Drosophila melanogaster: one gene and its partners. The protein of the gene in region 1 interacts with the protein of each later gene in a pairwise test. Each region holds a gene or a part of one and is shown in the gene's direction. Other genes may lie near its edges.

What was found.
Region 2: the proteins of l(2)efl (region 1) and CG15580 interact in a two-hybrid assay, tested with the Drosophila melanogaster proteins (one large-scale study listed by BioGRID).
Region 3: the proteins of l(2)efl (region 1) and ValRS-m interact in a two-hybrid assay, tested with the Drosophila melanogaster proteins (one large-scale study listed by BioGRID).
Region 4: the proteins of l(2)efl (region 1) and CG8219 interact in a two-hybrid assay, tested with the Drosophila melanogaster proteins (one large-scale study listed by BioGRID).

Annotation. Positions count from the first base shown.
Region 1 is NT_033778.4:23,684,056-23,687,307, reverse strand, and holds l(2)efl (lethal (2) essential for life), read left to right. Parts: upstream 1-1,764; 5' UTR 1,765-1,832; intron 1,833-1,922; exon of another isoform or gene 1,923-1,925; coding exon 1,926-2,313; intron 2,314-2,375; coding exon 2,376-2,551; 3' UTR 2,552-2,657; downstream 2,658-3,252. Other genes in the region: St3 (sulfotransferase 3), read right to left, coding at 1-74, 144-275, 431-770, 2,797-2,934, 2,988-3,060, 3,122-3,252. UniProt on the Drosophila melanogaster protein: Vital role in embryonic development.
Region 2 is NT_033777.3:6,054,147-6,059,582, reverse strand, and holds CG15580 (uncharacterized protein), read left to right. Parts: upstream 1-2,046; 5' UTR 2,047-2,092; coding exon 2,093-2,403; intron 2,404-2,528; coding exon 2,529-3,374; intron 3,375-3,595; coding exon 3,596-4,175; intron 4,176-4,283; coding exon 4,284-4,778; 3' UTR 4,779-4,871; downstream 4,872-5,436.
Region 3 is NT_037436.4:8,960,764-8,966,440, reverse strand, and holds ValRS-m (Valyl-tRNA synthetase, mitochondrial), read left to right. Parts: upstream 1-1,671; 5' UTR 1,672-1,814; coding exon 1,815-1,908; intron 1,909-1,976; coding exon 1,977-3,730; intron 3,731-3,785; coding exon 3,786-4,235; intron 4,236-4,294; coding exon 4,295-4,924; intron 4,925-4,984; coding exon 4,985-5,041; 3' UTR 5,042-5,167; downstream 5,168-5,677. Other genes in the region: CG5653 (uncharacterized protein), read left to right, coding at 79-1,509; CG13313 (uncharacterized protein), read right to left, coding at 5,546-5,677.
Region 4 is NT_037436.4:6,198,653-6,204,276, forward strand, and holds CG8219 (uncharacterized protein), read left to right. Parts: upstream 1-1,820; 5' UTR 1,821-1,887; coding exon 1,888-1,986; intron 1,987-2,079; coding exon 2,080-2,670; intron 2,671-2,723; coding exon 2,724-3,791; intron 3,792-3,848; coding exon 3,849-4,019; intron 4,020-4,073; coding exon 4,074-4,245; intron 4,246-4,306; coding exon 4,307-4,402; intron 4,403-4,457; coding exon 4,458-4,533; intron 4,534-4,598; coding exon 4,599-4,773; intron 4,774-4,834; coding exon 4,835-4,948; 3' UTR 4,949-5,124; downstream 5,125-5,624. Other genes in the region: LanA (laminin A), read right to left, coding at 5,523-5,624.

The DNA of each region.
Region 1 (3,252 bases):
GAGAACTGGGGGCACTTGCAGCGGAAGAGGCTCTGGAACTCCTCCTTACACACCTCGTTCCACCAGCAGGTGCGCTAGAATGCATTGGAAACGAAAGGGTTATCTCGCTGCCACTATGTACCACCTGTTATCCTTTGGGGCACCTCGGTCATGTAGCCGTGGACACTCTGATCCGAGTAGCTTCGCTTCGAGAGATGCGCCTGCACGGGGCAGAAGAGCAGTGTCACCACCAGAAGCAACAGTCGTGACGTCACGGGCAGCGAGTGGGGGGCGAACTGTAATGCAGCGAAGAAAGTGAAACCCAATCCGACATATAACCCCAAAGTGCCTCCGAAAGCACTACTACAACTACTTTCCACTGCATACTCGTGAACACCTTTAGGAGCTAGGAGTTGCACTCCTGTGATTTTTGTTTATTTTTGGAGCTCACCATCGTACAGCTTCCTCTGTTGACGTCTTGACTTATCCTCCGCTCCCAAAGTACAGTGAACACTTCACGTCCTGCGATGAATGTCGCCTGTTTTCCGTTTTTGGCCTCCCTTTGGGGCGGTGGCGTCGGCATCTCGGCATCTCGGCTGCCTTGCATAAGCATAAGTATTGGCCCCGTTCGCCCTCGGCTTTCAGCTTTCACTACTTTCACACGCACACACAGCCATCGAGTGCATGCACTGCTGCACTGGTGTTGGTGTGCTTTTGGCCCATTTCGAAGGGTGATTGCCTCACTGTTTGTTTGGCTGTGTTGGGTACACAATCCACTACAGGGCCAGTCCCTAAAATGTTAGGAACAGAAAACATATATGAGATTGTATGAAAATGTACCATTTTAACAGGTGCAGCAAATGAAAAGAAGATACTTGTTTGTAACTAGCTGAACTTGTACTTGCATCACTGGTAAATTAGATATGAACACTAGAGGGCGGCACTTTGTTTTTGATATAGTATATGTTCGCGATGATATATTTTAAGAAGTAAAACTTTATGATTGATGAGCTACTAATTCAAGCAAATTGCTGGTATAATTTTCAAAACAATGCTTGAAAATTCCTTTGTTTTGAGCGACGTCATCTCTTTCGTCTGATAGAAAACGCACGCGACATGACTCAGCAGAGGAAAAGCGAGAAATAAGAAAAAGTGGCAGATGCTTAAAATAGTTCATAAAGTCATTTAGTGGCCAAAGTATTTTTATATTAGCCGCGTCAAATCAACACTCTCAACAGGTAGAAAATTATGAAAATTCCTATATATCTAAAGAGTAAAGGGGGCGTAAAAGTGTCGAGAAATTCTTCTGGCATTTTCCAGAACACATTTTGCACTTTGGATTTTCGGTTTTCGAAAAAATATTATACAGAATAGAATTTGCATACAAACTGCGGGAATTTGTGTAGGCTTGCTTTTTAATACTCTGCATACATACATATGTGTGTTGCTTCTGGAACAAACAATCGGAAACACTATCATTTGAACTCCGAAAAAGGCCTGTCTGAGCAGTGACTAATGGAATCTTCTTTGGGTCACCATCATCGTAATCACAGGCTGAGTCTGAGTCTTCAAATCCCACGACTCCCACGGTAACAAACAAAACAGGCTGAAATCGCTCGCAGATTCGCACCAAAGATATGTGTTTGGCATATATAGGTTCAGAATGTTCTCTAGAATGACGCTCGTTTAAATTTAGATGGGAAATAAATTTTCATATTTTTAGCCCGTGGGGGAAGATGTAAACAATCTGTTGAGGGTATAAAATCGTGTGAGTGCTCGAGGAGCTCCATCAAAATCGCAGCAGCCGCGAATCGAAGCAGACGCGTTTATCCAAGTGAATTGAATCTAAAAAGGTACGAGGAAGGACCAAGCCAACGCGGAATTTATTGAACAGTGAAGAAGTGAAGTGATTAGCTCACTATCGTCTCGTTTCTTGATCAAAGCAGATGTCCGTAGTGCCACTGATGTTCCGTGACTGGTGGGATGAGCTCGACTTTCCAATGCGCACCTCGCGCCTCTTGGACCAGCACTTCGGTCAGGGACTGAAGAGGGATGACCTCATGTCCTCCGTGTGGAACTCCCGCCCCACAGTGCTGCGATCGGGATACCTGCGCCCCTGGCACACGAACAGCCTGCAGAAGCAGGAGTCCGGTTCCACCCTCAACATCGACAGCGAGAAGTTCGAGGTCATTCTGGATGTGCAGCAGTTCTCGCCATCCGAGATCACCGTCAAGGTGGCCGACAAGTTCGTCATCGTGGAGGGAAAGCATGAGGAGAAGCAGGACGAGCACGGATATGTCTCCCGCCAGTTCTCCAGACGCTACCAGCTGCCAAGTGAGTCCGAATTCCATCAACAAAATAGGAAGTATGCTAAACGTGTATGATCCTTCCACTAGGTGATGTCAACCCCGACACGGTCACATCGTCCCTCTCCTCCGATGGCCTGCTGACCATCAAGGCGCCAATGAAGGCGCTGCCTCCTCCGCAGACTGAACGCCTTGTGCAGATCACACAGACTGGTCCCTCCTCCAAGGAGGACAACGCCAAGAAGGTGGAGACCTCCACCGCCTAGGACTCAATCCTTTTGTACCGCCTTCAGTGTTAGTTAGTTTATGTCTACGTGTGCCTTATATATTGGACTCTACATATTTTATATCAATTAAAACGAATCTTTAGATAAACATTTGAAGAACAAGGTGTTTGGTAGGTCAAACAGCTTGACCTTGCTTTATTTGCTCTCCTCTCTCGCTGTTATTTACTTCCGAGCTAAACCAAAAGATACAACATTATCTTGATTATTCTCAATATGTATCTTACTGATCTTTCAGGAGCAGTAGTTCGTCCAAAGTCACACCGTTCTTCGCAAGAACCTCTTGTATCCGGACATTGGCCTTCTCAATTTGTTCGGGCTTCAATTCGTCCTTGTAGCCATTGACATCCCCACGTCTCACGAATCTAGAGGATTACAAGTGAATGGTTGTTCGGAAAACTATGGGACTTTCTCTTACGGGTGCATTTCTTTCCCAGCATTTTCGTGTTGAACTTGGGCCAACTCCCACAGATGATTCGTGGTGGGATTTTCTGAAAAGAAAATTCGTTTAGCTCAATAAGATCATTGTTTCGGCATAGGCTTCTTGCATACTCTTCATTTCCGCGAAGGACAAATGCTTTAGCAGTTTCTCCATTTGCTGATCGTTGATGGGTTTATTCAGAAATCTGGAGACATCGTTGATCACTCCTCGCAGATCTTTCTTCATCATTTCAAAGCTGGTG
Region 2 (5,436 bases), on another chromosome or scaffold:
CTGCGATTGGAGCCCTACATTTCACCCAGTACCTCTGCCTCTGACGTGGGCTTTGTAAGGTCAACAAGCCAAAAATGCTTAAAAAATGCAACCGGCCAGGAAAGCGGCAAATGCAAAAGCAAAGTTAGGGTTAAACTCTTTTGTGGCATTAGCGAAACCAGAGAAGGGAAACTCCATCGTGTCGCGACTGAAACTTACATTGTATTTCTATTTGTGAGGCAGCGTCATTTCCGGTTTAGATCGTCCCCGGAGCCAGTGTTGCAAACATGTTAAGCAATCGCGCCAACTTTTTGGTCTTTTCGCCTCAGGGGAAAGGCAAAACTCTGCCGTGAGACGAACGGCAGCTCGTAAATTTCAAAAATTTGAAAACAACAGCGCCGGCAACATATACTTTTCGCGCGCTGGCCGAAATTATTTTAAATCACCTGCTGCCCGGCATTTATCATCAGAGCCAGTCGGACAAGTCGGACTCCCTAACGACCGCAGCCAGTCTTCAGCTCAACTCCCAGGACGACTACAACGGCAGCGAGATTTGCGAAGAGCACTTTATTTTGGCCAAGCCATTGCCACGCCTCCGTCCCCAAGCCCCCATCCACACTCCATCCACGCAGTGAAGTTTTCTCCACCTAACACCGACCCACTCATAATGTCCGCGCTTCTGATGTTATTTTGCCATTTTCGCTCTGGTTTGCGGCTGGGGGAAAACTGTTTTGTTATCACGGTGATAAATGGAAAATTATTTTGAATCGAGCAACTACTTAAAAGAATTCCCAAAGGTTGTAATAAATTTTGGGGCACACACATACACACATACATTCACGTCCGAGAAGGACATGCGAGGAAGGACAAGTTGGTAAGACCGAATCCGAGTTGAGCTGGCTTGGTAATGTCCTTCCAGATAAAAAGGTGATTGACGAAGCGAAAGCAAAAGTCATGGTCGAACTTCCACTTAGCAATGCAGTTGTCGTTCACAGAAAAGGACCAACGACGATGTCGGTGGTTGTGTTGTGTGTAGTGGTGGGCTGGATGGCGAATTTCGTCCTGGCATGCACTTAATTTGTACTGGGAGCTGGGGACCTGGGGCTCCTCCACTTGCTCTGAAGAAATACTCCAAGTTGAGCATATTCACAAAGCTTTGCAGAGCCAGGAATGCTATAGGTGCACACCGTGCCAAATTATTTCCTTACAACTTTAAAACTAAACATTTTATTATATGATACATCCTGGAATATAGCCCACATAGGTAGGAAGTAACAGCTCTTCCGGGAAAATATTATAGCTTATCAACAGTACCACTATAATTAAATAATAATAAATATGCATTAAAAATATAAATATTTTATATGTCCTGGTCACAAGAATTGATACAAAGTCGTTTGGTTTTCTTAAGTGCAGCGTCTTTGTTGGCAGGAGCAGCTACATGCACTATGGAAACCACTTCCAAACTGGGGGCCATCTCCGATCCAGGCACAAAGGCACCCGGACAGGACGAGCACACTCAGCGAGCAGCTCTAACAACATCTATTTTTATTTCATTAGGTAGAAAAATAGCCGGCAAGGTGAAGCTCCTGGCAGCTTCGCCATCAAAACAAAGCGCTGAATATTGGCCAAAACGGAATGGAACGGGGCGGGCGAAGCGGGGCTGGCCACAAAAAGAAACTGCTCTTCGCTTCTCAATTAGGTTAGCTTAATTTAAATTTGCTTCGAGTGCTTGGCAAGTGCTTGCGAGACATTAGCAGCAAATATTAGCAAACGCTTAAAGAGCGCCGTAAGTGGAAAATATCTTAGGCGAGTTTTCTTAAATTAGCCGTTGTAAACATTTGTTACGCACTCGGGTCGGGATTTAGAGTGTCTTAAATGAAAACCGGACAGTTTTTAATGAGGAAGTACGTTTGGCAGGTGCGAGATAACTAAAACATAAAACATGTTCATTGGAGTATGAAGATAGACAAACGGCACTTCCATAAATGTATTAAGGTGCACTGGAACACATGGGTTAAAACCATGTTATACTTATCGATCACTTTCAGAAACAAACTTCAAAAAAAAAGACTTTCAACGCACAAACAAACATACTCGAAAATAACTCCATATGGACTTTGAAGATGATGAGGAGGTTGTGCAACCGCACTATGCTCAGAAATTCCGGGCTCCCACCGATCCCCTCCTTCTGGCCACATATGAGCTTTTTAAGCCCTCTCATCAGACCTTGAACCTATACAGCGAACGGAATCGCGAGATTTTTGCGGAGGCCTTTATAGAGGGAAACTTGAACACTTTAGTCAATCTGAGCGTAAAGAGTCTGGCCAAGCTGGGCATTCGAGGCATATCTCCAACTTTGCAGGCGAGTCCCCAGCTTATGAGGATATTTTACGACGCACTGGATGTGGAGCTGCCTTTGAGGTATGTAACGAAACGGATACAAGTATTTTCATTACATAACCTATAATTTAACATTTGACGCCACTAACTTTATATCGTTATTTACTATGGTTACAAACCCTAATAACTTTATATATATTTCAAAGAGATTGCTATTTGATCGAGGATCAACGATTTTGGCGACGCGTCGTACTAAGCAAGACTTTGGACAAAACGTTGCACCTGAAGCGCTGGAACGAGTTCGACTGGAAGGCTGAGGGTGTGAGCCGGAAGTTTGTGGAGCAGGTTGAATCATGTCCTGTGAACGTGAAGCCGCAGAGAAGGCTGGCTCAGTTGGCTGAAATTGTTTGGCAGTATGTCAACTCCATGCACATCCGCAAGCTGCAAGCTCTGCCCGACTATGCCTTCATTAAGCACTTGGAGAGCGAGCCTGAAGAGGATATATCCTCGGAGTCATCCGACGAGGAGGAGATATCTAGCGATGAGCCGGATACGGAAATGGACGAGGGCGAGGAGGAGCACAAGTCTAGTAGTTCCAGCAGCGAGGCAGCTATTACTTTCTGGCGTGCGGAAACCGAGAACGAGGACACAATTCGCCGGAATGCGCGACATCTGCGCAACGCCAACCGCCAGCAGGCTCGGGATGCCATTGCTAGGAAACGGGAGGATCGCAAGGAGCGCAAGAGGAAGCGCCAGGAGAAACTGGACGCCTTGAAGAATGCGGATCAATCGGGCAAGAAAAAGAAGAAAAAGAAGAAGGAACCGCCCATTCGAGACGTGTTCAGCATAAACGTTGCTCCAGAAGAAGGTGATGACGAGGACACAAAACCGGACAAGCGCAACAAGCAGCTGCTGCTGGAGCGGATCAAGCGGTATGACTATCCGGAGGACCATTGTCATCACATTGATCTGGGATTTGTACGATATTTTGAAAATATGATGTCTCTGACGCTGGAGTTTTTGGGACCACCTGATGTAAAAGACTATCAAAGGTAAGCTCTTAAATTAGAATGTTATGGTAAGAAACAACATCGAAGAAGTGAAACGTGCTGTACACGATTTGTATAACATGTTTTCTCTGAGATAAATGGAACCAAATAAATACATGTGAAGTAGAGTTCTAAAAGCGCCAAGAGTCTACAGCTGCATCGCCTACCACCAGCATTTAAATTAAAATTGCTAGCTTAAACTTAACTTAACTTGTACCTTACAGCCGTTATATGAAGTTCTCAGACAGTGATATGGTTCGTCTTAGCAAAGGTCTGAAATACTTACCGAGCCTCAAGACCTTCAGGCTTCGAAACAGTCGCCTGAGTATGAAGAAGTTTCGTATCCTGACCCGTGCCCTTCAGAACTTAGACACCCTTGATGAGGTGGATTTTGGTTATGACCAAATGACGGATGAGTGCAGCGAAGGCCTGGCCTATTTGCTAAAGCGCCCTTTGATGTACCGCAGTATCCAGCTGGAACACAACAAATTGGGCGCCAATTGTGCAATTGTGCTGGGCGAGGCGTTGAGCCAATCGCAAGTGGGGGTTTTGGAGTATCTGGGCCTGGCTCACAATCCGCTTAATGAATTGGCCCTGCATTCGCTCATAACGTGTATTATCGGAACCCCCCATGTGTGGGCCCTCAACATTTCGGGGATCAACACCACCCTGGGTTCGTTTTCCCGTGATATAGGAACCCTCCTGCGCAGCCACACTCCTCTGATGAGCCTCGAAATGGCCGCCATCAACATTGGCATCTCGCAAGGGAATCAAATACTGAGATCCCTGGAAAAGAATACCCGAGTAAGTATAACATTGAATTAGGTTGGATCGCTGATAATGACCACTTTTGCGAAAGGGGTGCTGAAGATCATTTTTAACTGAGTATTGAACTTACATTCCTATCCTAAGATCCTATACGCCGACTTCCGGGAATGTGAGCTGAGCTTCGACCAGGAATTCGAAGTGGACATGATAGTGCGTCGGAATAACTACATTCATGAAAACCTCCACCACGGCGAGAATCTGTGTAAGGTGGTCAAGGAGCGCCGCCATCCGATTGTCCAGCGAATCGAGGAGGATTTCGCCCGGCGGAAGGGGTGCACGGAGGTGCGGCCGAAGTTCTCGAGCTCCAGCAAGGAATCCATTCCGGAGGTGGTCGTTGAGAAGAAGGAGGTCGAGGAGGAGGGCGACATCTGGGCAATGTTGGCTCGGTGGAACCAGCCGACAGCGCCTGAAGTGAGGGAATCGCACACTTCAAAGGATTCGCACCCCTCTCAAAATGGAAAGACAGAACCATTTGTTTTCGAACCCAACAAGTTCGATCTGGACCAGTTCCGGAAGTCTGTCTTTCTGCCAGGCCCTGGCAATCGCTTTTTCTACCTGCAAAGGAACAAAACTCCCTAATTTGTAGCCCTTTTCACCACCTACAATTGTACATTGCATAACATTGTACTCTGAGTATATTTTCAAAGCATTAAACGCACCACTTAGCAGTCCAACATAGTCCCTATCATTCTCGAGGGCTTGGAATGTCATTCGACCTAATGGTCACTTTAAACCTTCGCCATAAAGTGCCGCGCTGGCATAAACTGAGATCTAATTAAGTCGCTGGCAACGTGTTCGCCTTGGAGCCACGCCCACAATTCCGGGGGCCACACCTCGACCGAAGGTCATTGCAGAGCACAGCAAGTGCAACAAAGTTGAGCAGTTTGCATTTAAGCAGCGGAGATTTGGGCAACAGTGTCTCCAATTTAATGCCACTTCCCCTGGCTACTTCTGCCTTCCAAGCTCCACAGTCAATTCCATAAAATCGTGGGCGTACACTCGGAAAAAATAGTATAATTTCCATGTTGATAAAACAAACTAGAAAGCACTTAAAACACCAGTCCTAAAAACAGCATGTTAAATCCTTTTAACACTTTAGTTAAAAGAATTTTTCAATTCATATTACTTCATTTGAAGACTTAATTTCCAATGTTAACTAGCGGTGATTTTATTGGAAGGCTTCATTTCTTTTAAAGTTTTTCTAAACAAGATATATCTGCTTTTTCAGTGCAAAGAA
Region 3 (5,677 bases), on another chromosome or scaffold:
CAAGTTAGCCCACAAACTTCATCAGTAGCTCGTTGATCGTCTGCTCTTTCTGTCGAACTTAACTACCAACGTTTCAAAATGGAAAAATGCCGTGCCTCCTCTAGGATAATCATAATCGGAGCAGGAGTTTCGGGCATAGCCGCCGCCACTCGACTCCTGCAAAACAATTTCCAGAATGTTCAGATCCTGGAGGCGGAGGATCGCATTGGCGGGCGGATCAACACCGTGTATTTTGGTGACAACGTCATCGATTTGGGAGCCCAGTGGTGTCATGGAAAGCAGCAAAATTGTGTATACGACATGGTCAAGGATATGGGTATCCTGCACGAGACAGGCGACTATTACAGTCCCATAAAGAGGGTGAGATCCAACAAGGAGGTGGTTCCACATGAGTTGGCCTGCAGGATTCACGACATTGCTGTGAAGAGCATGCCGAGTGGACCTCACCCGGTTGTGGGATCCTTTGGCACCCACCTGACTCAGACCTTCTGGCGCAAGATCGAGTCCGAGCTACCCCAAGTGAATAGGGATGTGGCTAGTGAGGCCTTGAATACATTTGCGAAGCATGAAAGCTCTATTATTGGTGCGGACAATCTTTTCGAGGTCTCCGTTAGGGAACACATCGAGTACCACGAATGTGATGGCGACAAGCTGCTCCACTGGGGAACGAAGGGTTACCGGCGCTTCCTGCGGCTGCTGATGAAGGTCAGCGCGGATACGCCAGAAGAGCTGGGTCTACTGGAAGGACGTATTCAACTTGATATGAAGGTCATCAAGATTGAGTTGGCGTGCCCCCGTAAGGTAATCCTGCGCTGCCAGGATGGGGATTACTTCGAGGCGGACCACGTCATCTGCACCGTTTCCCTGGGAGTCCTGCAGGAGCAGCACGAGAAACTGTTCGTCCCGCCGCTGCCCGCAGCCAAGGTGAATGCCATTCGCAGCCTCACCCTGGGCACTGTGAACAAACTGTATTTGGAGTATGAGAAGCAACCTCTTCCTGACGGCTGGGTGGGTTTCTTCTGCTTTTGGCTGGAAGAGGATCTGATAGAGCTGCGAAAGACGGAATATTTCTGGGTGGAGGGTATAACCGGTGTACACATGATCACTTGTCAGCCCCGAATGTTGATGGCCTGGGTGAATGGTCCGCATGGACGCCACATGGAGACCCTGTCCGATGAGAAAGTCCTTGAGGGCTTGTACTGGCTTTTCCGAAAGTTCCTCACTTTCGAAATTCCGCCGCCAAAGCGTTTCGTTCGCAGCTCGTGGTTTTCGAATCCGAATTTCCGTGGCAGTTGGAGTTATCGTGGAGTTATGGCCGATGAAAGGAATACGGGCCCCTGGGATCTAGAGTCTCCTGTGTTGGGCGAAGATGGTCATTTAGGCCTCCTTTTTGCCGGAGAAGCGTCTAGCAGGAATCACTTTTCCACCGTTCACGGAGCTGTGGAGGCGGGCTATCGGGAGGCAGACCGGCTCATTGATCATTACACCTCATGCAGTGTCAGTGCCTGAAAAATATATTTTTTTATCGTACTTTTCTTTATGGTTTCTTAATAAAATTGTTCTCTTTTATAAATTAAAAAAAATTACATTGGATCCTGATATTCACATACGTACCCTCTGAGATGTTTTATGTTTCTCTTTTGACAAATCAAATAAATAATGAAGTTTGAAAAAAAATTGAGGAGGAAAGCTCTACCGTTTCTCGTTTGAAATTGGCGCCCATAAGCCGTATATCGATTATCTCCTCAGCTGTTTTTATACCATCACCAATAAGATTACAATTTTTTTTGACATAACATAACACAACATTAAAAATGCAAATAATTGGGAATTGTAGCAGTAAACTGCTCAGACACAAGTACCTGTGCCAGCCAAGGGTGTACTCTCTATACTACAGTACCCTTAAAGGTGCGTTACCTCCAGTTTCATTCAAAACCCCAGTGCCGGCTAAAGAACTCACTTTTTTCCACTTTTAGATGCGGCTAATGAGCTTCCCTTGGCAGCAGGATACCAGCCACAACCAGTGGAAAATGCTTACTGGGAGCGGGAGCATCGCCAGGCAAATTTGCCCAAGGCTTCAGCCAGCAGTTGCAAGCGGGGGACCTATCGCATGCTTCTACCGCCACCAAATGTAACCGGGAATCTACATTTGGGCCATGCACTGATGGCCACCGTGCAGGATGTGATTGCCCGCCAGCGCGAACAGCTTGGCTACCAGGTGGACTGGGTACCAGGCACAGATCACGCGGGTATCGCCACCCAGGTGGTCGTAGAGCGCACGATTGCCGCTTCTCAGGCGAAAACCCGTCATGAATTGGGACGTTCTGCTTTTCTGGACGAAGTATGGCGCTGGAAGGCGGAAAAGGGTGCTGGTATCGTACAGGATCTCCGCCAACTCGGCTGTAAACTGAATTGGCAACGAGAATACTTCACAATGGATGAGCAGCAGGCGCATGCGGTCAACGTAGCTTTCGAGCGACTCTTTGAAGAAGGCCTAATTCAGCGGCGCAACTCGGTTGTCAACTGGTGCACCGCTCTACGTTCCGCGATATCTGATATCGAGGTGGACAGTGTAGAGATCACGGAGCCGGTAGAGATATCCGTTCCAGGCTACGATCACAAAGTACTCTTTGGCAGAATGTACGATTTCGCCTATCACGTAGTGGATGGTGAAGCACTGCCCGATGGTTCGGTTGAAGAGATTGTGGTGTCTACCACTAGACCAGAGACAATTTTGGGTGATGTAGCTGTCGCAGTACATCCGCTGGATCCGCGCTACGCCAAGTACCGAAACATTGATCAGGTTAAGCTCAAGCATCCTTTCCGTGACGACACCATTCCACTCGTTTTCGATATCACCGTGGACCAGGAGTTTGGCACCGGGGCAGTGAAAATCACACCAGCCCATGACAAATTTGATTTCGAGCTGGCCACTCGCCATAAGCTTGAACCTCGCCAGGTCTTTACTGAAACGGGTCTTGTGGTGGATGCCTATTCTGAGTACAAGGGTATTCCGCGCTTCGAGGCGCGAGATCTCATCGTCAATCGCCTGGAAGAGATGGATTTGCTGCGACAGGTGCGCTCTCATACCATGCAGTTGCCCATCTGCTCGCGTTCCAAGGACGTCATAGAGTACATGATATTGCCGCAATGGTTTCTTAAGTGCAAAGACTTGGCAAAGGATGCCTTATCTGAACTTCATAGTGGACGTCTGCAAATCCTGCCTCCGAACTTCGAAACGGAGTGGGAACGCTGGCTACAGGATAGCCGCGACTGGTGCATTTCCCGGCAGTTGTGGTGGGGGCATCAGGTGCCCGCATACGAGGTCATCGACTCCCAGGGAAACAGTCAATGGGTGGCTGCCCTTGACGAGAAGACAGCTAGGCAGAAAGCCATGAGACTTATTGGTAGCGAAGAATTTACATTGAAACGTGATCCGGATGTACTGGACACTTGGTTTTCATCATCGCTGCTGCCTTTCTCCACAGCCGGTTGGCCAGAGGAGAGCTACAAAGAAAGATATCCTTTGGACATAATGCAGACTGGCCATGATATTATCTTCTTTTGGGTGGCGCGCATGATGATGTTGGGTCTGAAGCTGACCGGCGAGGCACCCTTTCAGAGAATTTTGCTAAACGGCATTGTGTGCGATGCTCATGGCCGGAAGATGTCCAAGAGTATCGGCAACATCGTGGCCCCACAGCAGGTGGTTCAGGGCGCCAGTTTAGAGGTAAGTTAGGCCATTCTTGCCAAGAATAAAATTTAACGATATATTACATCTGCAGAGCCTGAAGGCTGGCTTAGAGCAATCGTGCGAGGCGGGCATTATTACGCCTTCAGAGTTAAAGGCCTCCACGATTGGAATGACGCAAATGTTCCCCAATGGCATTCAAGAGTGCGGCACCGATGCTCTACGCTTCACCCTGATGAGCCACAACATCAAGAGTCACTTCATTAGCTTCGATGTGAACGCCTGCCACACCAATAAGCTTTTCCTAAACAAAGTATGGCAAGCTATGCGATTTACCCTCGGCTCAGCCAAGGGACTGGGAATCTCGCTGCATCAGTTTGAGACTCTTGAAGGTGTGAATCTGGGCCTTTGGGATCGCTGGATCGTCGGACGCCTCGCGGAGACCTTGTCTGTCTGCTCGCAGAGCTACAGCAACTACAATTTCCACTTGGCCACAGCAGCCCTGAAGACCTTCTTCTATCAATATCTCTGTGATACTTACTTGGTAAGTTGGTTGTCATTCAATTGTTACTCAGCATCAACAAAAGCTGCTGAAATCGACAGGAAACAACCAAACCTGCGATAGGAAATCGCAGTGCTGATGCCTACATCCATGTGGGCACCCTGACCGCTTGCCTTAGCTGGGGACTGCAGGCCATGGCCCCGTATGCTCCCTTTGTGGCTTCCGAATTACTGCAGCATGTGCCCCTTAATATAGAGCTTAAACTGTCCGACTACAAGGATGAAAAGTTGGAGGAAGAGGTCAACGAAATAGTGAACATCTGCCATAATGTGCGACAGGTTAAGAGTCGCAATGAGATTAGCAAGCGCCATCATCCGCAACTCAGTTTGTTTGCCCAGAATACGGACTCGGAAGGAGTGCTTCGTCGTCATTTGCCGCAGATCAAGGTGTTATCTCGCTGCGAAGACGTGGAACTGGAATTGTTTGACGAGAGCTCAAAGATTTCGAAGCAACTCAGCTACTTCTCAACGGCAGGAGCACTCTGCTCCTTTGGCTTGAAATTGAGCGATGGATTGGATCTGACGCCGGAAAAACGAGACGAAATGCAGAAGGCCAATGCCAAAAAACTGAAGAAGTTGGTCACCGAATTGCAGCGGTATCGCATGCGCCTGGATAACGAAGCCTTCCAACTGATGGCCGACAAGAAAGTTAAGTCACATTTCGAAAATAAGGTAATGTGCTATAAAGTTTTGATTCCATGCGACATTATTTTTATTGGTTTTTTATTGTAGGTCAAAGAGTTGGAGGCGGAAATCAACAGTCTCACTCGGCTGGCAGTATTGTCCTAATGCACTGCATAACAATTAGCTTAGATAATGCCATTGTTATTGACTTACATCCGCCTAAGTCATCTGTTTGTTTAGAATTAAAGACTGCAATATTTATTAAATGCGCAACGTACCTTATAAAGGCACTAAGCATAAAAATACTCAACTACTTGTCACTGATCTAATTCAAATATCAATTTCTGTTCGGAAAATTTAGACATTTCCGTTTTAAACCGCTAACTCTTTTGTCACCAAAACCGCAAAATACTACAGATATTTTTTTTGAATTTGTTTTAAATTCCTATTAGATCATTTTTGCTAATTGCTAAGTTCACGAAATCAAACGAATATTGGTTTAAATCGGAAATGGTTATTGTTTTTACACTTTCGTATGTTAATTAATGTTTAAATTTACCAGATGCTTCGTCCAAATTCCTCGAAAGGATCCCCAATTTCTCTTCTCCAGATATGTATCACGGTTTTTTGTTATGCTATGATTATCAAGTCTTTTATTGTATACCATATTTACAGAATTGGACACGCGTTCTGCGAATACGACAAGTAGAAGCCGCGATTCGATATGTCCATATCCTCATTACCATCGGTGACTGTGTAGACAACGAATGGCTTCGCCGATGTGGTCGTGGATACCAGACC
Region 4 (5,624 bases), on another chromosome or scaffold:
GGGTAAAACAAAAGAAAAAGGAAAAAAGGATATAATACAAGGATAACGATAATATTGCAACTGTTACTGATACAAATTTACTGATACACTTAATGATATTCATATGCTATACAAAATTAGGTGTTTTTTTACGCATTGTGAAAGCGAAAAGCAAGCAAATAGGGAAACATTGTAAAATTGAGATTAGGATTTTGTTGAATATCTTATTTATTTTCCATTAACTGAATACAAAAGCAACCATTGACTGATCACTTTTTAAAGTATTATTATATAATTTTTTTTTGTATAGGGACAAGTGTAATTAATGAACTATTATTATTTTCTTCGAACTTTTATATCATTTGTATAGACTCGTGTTTTGCGTAACCTCTATAATTTACGATCTTTGTACAGAACAAATTTTTTACAATTATATGATTAGGTGTAAAGTGTACTACTAAATGAAAACAAAAGTCTTTGAAATTGTCGCGGAACAACTAAAACATACGAAAAATAAAACTAGGGAAAACCAAACTCAGTCAAATACAAAATAAATGGATGATTATGAAGCGTAAGAAGAGTAAGTAAATCTAAGTAATAGTATTACGTAATTATGCAAACCGTGTTTACGTTTGTGTTTTTATTTCGTTTCGAAAATGGGGGAACGTGTGATAATAAAGTAACTTCGGGTCGTTCGTTCGCGTCGCGTTAAACTCAATCAATTTAAAAACTAACAATAAGGGACTTTCGCCCCCGAGTCCCAAATAATAATCGCAATACTTGATAACTTGATAATAATACGGTCTAACTAAAGCGGAAGCATAGCAATTGCTAAAACTGAAACTAAACTAAAATGAAAAATCGTGATTTCGTTGTACCTTAATCCGGATTCATCGCGGAATCCGGTCGCGTTCGCGTGCGTTTGTATCTCTCTCGGGTGATCTTAGTGATTAGCGTTTAAGCAGAAAAAAAAAATGAAAACAAAAAAACTGAATCAACACTACTACAACTACACATAAACATACAACATTAAACATGTACACACCACACATATACAGCAATATGAAATATATTTATAGATTTTATGCAGAGTAGGTTTTTGTTTAAAATATTATTTTTCATTACGATAGGGCAAACCAAAAAAAAAAGTAGGGAACATCAAATAAACTAAATGTTAGGTCAAGCTAGGGCAAGAAACAAATTAAAACAGCAAATCAAAAGTTATTTGTGCAGCATTAGAGAATTTTTTTCTTATTTCTTTCAATATTATCGTGTGTATGCTATTAAATCGATGAAGAGAACATACCAACTGTTTTTAGTACTTTACACAATTATGATATTTAACTTCCGTTGTTTTTTTTAAGTAAATCAAGACCAAGCCTAGTAAATATTGTTTTACCATCTATATCTTCATAAACAGCACGTAAAACTTTTCGTTCATCGAACATTCAACTCTGATAGGTTTATATCTCTAATCGTTTAAGCTTACAACCACTGTCTAGGCTAAATCAAATGTTCTGCAAATGTCTAACGAAATTGAATATATATACGGGCCTATATGCATAAATAACATACGCATATATATGAAATACATGCATGTATGTATAATCCCTACATCAAACTATATGGATTACAGATTATTCTTCTGGAGTTTATATATTTGTTTGGCTAAAAACTCCATTTCAAAATTCAACTATCAAGATTTGTGTAAATTGAAAAGTATATATATGAATAAATATGTATGTATAACAAACATTACCCATCAAGATAATGGATTTTCTGATTTGTATGGGATATGAGTAGGCCGAGAACAGAGTGTCATTCTCTGTCACTTCGGTAGCCCCCTTTGGCAGACCTTACCCCACATTTATCATACAAAACCCGGCTAACTTTTGCATCAGCAGCAAAATGGCATGGACACCACGGGATGAAGGTCTGCAGCAGCTCCTACCGATACTCAAGGACTCACAGTCTCCCGGTAAAGCCACGCAGCTAGCCGTGCAAGAGGTAAGTACCGAAGACCCAACTGATTTAGCAATCCTCATCGGGTGCTTCCCGGACTTCAACAACTATCTCGTCTATGTGCTCACGAATCTGAAGACGGAAAACGAGGCAACGCGCTCCATGAGCGGCCTAATCCTCAAGAACAACATTCGCATGCACGACATCACTCTGCAGCCGGAACACCTGGAGTATATCAAACACCAGTGCCTGCAGGCAGTGGGCGACTCTTCACCCGAGATCCGTGGCACCGTGGGCATTCTGATTACCACCATTGCCAGCAATATCGGTCTGCACAACTGGCCGCAGCTGCTTCCATCTCTCTGCGAAATGCTCGACAACCAGGACTACAATGTGTGCGAAGGAGCATTCAGTGCTCTGCAGAAAATTTGCGAGGACTCTGCCGGAATTTTGGAAAATATGCCATTAAATACAATGATTCCAAAGTTCCTGGAGTACTTTAAGCACAGCAGTCCAAAGATCCGCTCCCACGCCATTGCCTGCATCAACCAGTTCATCATCAACAGATCACAGGCCCTGATGCTAAACATAGACAGCCTCATTCAGAACCTCTTAGACGTGCCCTCGGATAATGACCCAGCGGTTCGCATGAACGTCTGCCACGCATTGGTTGGTCTGGTGGGGGTGCGCATAGACCTTATGATGCCGCACATGTCGCAGATTATTGAGGTATGAAGTTAAGGTTTAGTTTTAAATTTTAACGTAATGAAAAATCTCTGTAGCTCATTTTGTTGCGCTCCCAGGACGCCGATGAGAACGTGGCTCTGCAGGCCACCGAATTTTGGCTTTCATTGGGAAAGCAGAGAAACTGCAGGGATATACTTTCTCCCATTCTATCCCAGTTAGTCCCAGTTCTTGTAAGCCGAACGCAATACACGGAGACGGACATTATTCTTCTGAAGGGCGATGTAGGTGAAGATGACAAGGAGCCTGATAGACAGCAGGATATCAGTCCACGTTTCCACATGTCCCGCGTACACGGTATAAGTAATGAATTGGATGAAAACTCGGACGACGATATGTGGGATTCGGCATTGAACTTGCGCAAGTGCAGCGCTTGTGCTCTCGACATTATTTCGAAAATTTTCGGCGATGTCTGTCTGCCCCTTATGCTGCCCATCCTAAAGGAGGCGCTATTCCACCAGGAATGGGTGATCAAAGAAAGTGGTGTGATGGCCTTGGGAGCTATTGCGGAGGGCTGCATGCAGGGCTTGATCCCACACTTACCAGAGCTGATTCCCTACCTAATTACCTGTCTGTCTGACAAGAAGCCACTCGTACGCTCCATTACATGCTGGACGTTCATGCGATTCCCCAAATGGGTGCTCAACCAGCCGCACGACAAGTACTTGGAGCCTCTAATCGAGGAACTGCTGAAGTGCATCCTGGACTCCAATAAGCGCGTTCAGGAAGCTGCGTGCTCTGCCTTTGTCGCTCTGGAGGAGGAGGCCTGCACGCAACTGGTGCCCTACCTGGAGAATATGCTAAAGACGTTCGTCTTAGCCTTCTCCAAGTACCACCAAAGGAATCTACTGATAATGTACGATGTCGTTGGTCTTTTAGCGGAGTCCGTCGGTCATCATCTGAATAAACCGCAATATATTGACATCCTAATGCCTCCGCTAATGGATAAGTGGAACCTGGTAAAGGACGACGACAAAGATATAATCTATTTGTTGGAGTGCCTATCGAGCATCGCCACTGCGTTGCAGTCCTCCTTTCTGCCCTACTGCGACTCGGTGTATCGAAAGGGCATCTCCATTATTGAGGAGACTATCAACCAGGACATGGTAAGCAACTGTGTTAGCTTCAATGTAAATCTATCAATGAACTCGACTCCTTTCAAGATGTGTAAACAAAGCCAATCAACCGATTATCCTGACAAGGAGCGCATGGTTATCGCCCTGGATCTGGTGTCTGGCTTGATCGAGGGGCTGCAGAGCCTCATAGAGCCACTGGTGGCCAACAGCAAACTTTTGCAGCTGCTCTGCCAATGCATGGGCGACGTTATGCCCGAAGTAAGTTTTACCTAATTAATATACTCGTGTATATGGGATTAAAATACATATTAGGTTCGCCAATCATCGTTTGCCCTGCTGGGTGATTTGAGCGGGGCTTGTTTTTCCCAGGTATACCCCTACACGGCCCACTTTATTTTGATCTTGGTGCAAAACCTAAACCCCAGCGTTGTTGGTGTGTGCAACAATGCAGTTTGGGCCATAGGGCAAATCTGCGTTAAGTTGGGTAAGTTGGCTTGGTTCTCTTATAATGTAACAAAAAAGATTTTTTGTATTTCGCCCCTAAGGTGAGGAAACCAAGCCGTACGTACGCCTTCTGCTTAGCGAACTAATGATCCTGATGAACCGGCAGGACATTCCAAAAAATCTTTCGAGGAATGCGGGTAAGTAATTTGGCCTGATTTAAAGTAATTTATTATTATTATTCTTTTTTTTAAGCAATAACACTTGGGCGCCTCGGAAATGCATGTCCAGATGAAGTGGCTCCCTATTTGCCCGAATTCCTACGCCAGTGGTATGTACACATTAAATGCTTCATTTGCTCATTTTTTAAATTATCCTTTCTTCCACGAAATGAAGGTGCTTGTTATTGCGTTACGCATATGACCACGACGAGAAGTATTTGTCTTTTATGGGAATGTGCCATATGATCAGGGAGAATCCAGGAGGCGTGGTGCCCGACTTCTTATTCTTTTGCGATGCCATTGCCTCGTGGGACAATCCTCCACAGGATCTGCGTCAGATGATTCGAAGAGTAAGTTATTTCCGGAAATTATTAATTTTCGTCTTTCAACAATACTCGTTTGTTATTCTAGATTATCGAAGGCTTTAAGAACCAAACGGGTGCGGAGAATTGGCTAATTTTTTTGGGGAAATTTCCACAACCACTGGCCTGCCGGCTAATCGAACTGTACGACATCGAATACTAATCCGAAGCTATCCAGCCAATTATGTATTGCTTCAATCATCATTCTAATTTTACTAAGTAACCAAAGCCCCAAAAAAAGTCAGCTATTGAGTAATATACGATTTTATATAATCATTTATAATATGAATAATTCAACAAAACCTGAAATATTTTTGTAAATAAAGTCTCAATAATTGTAAAAATGTATGTTACACCATTTAAAACTTATGACATAAAAAAACAAAAGTTTTAGTTTCATTAAAATGTTTATTTTATTGGTTTATTGGAATTACAAAAATGCAAGATTCTCTTAAGGAGTTTTAAAAAGGATATATAAATGTAAATGGCTTTAATAGAATTGGCACGCAGTTTGGCTTATAGTACTAGGAATATATACGACTGGCATCTTTGCTAAGGATCTATTACTTTGAAGACCTTATGACTTTTTTATGACCCGTCGATTTTGTTCGTTTGAAATTTGATCGTTCGTTGTCCTTTGATTAGCAGTTGTCGGCAAAAGAAGATTCTTCCTGGCAGTTTTTCGTAGTCGTTGTCCAAATAAATCATAGGTCCTTAAGTCGTTCCGAAGTTCTTTATTAGTTGAGGGGACAATAGCCCTGCCAAATATCGCCAACGACCATGTTCGGCGTGATGTTGATCATCCTTTGGTTAACCTCCACCTTGCTGATGCAGCCCTT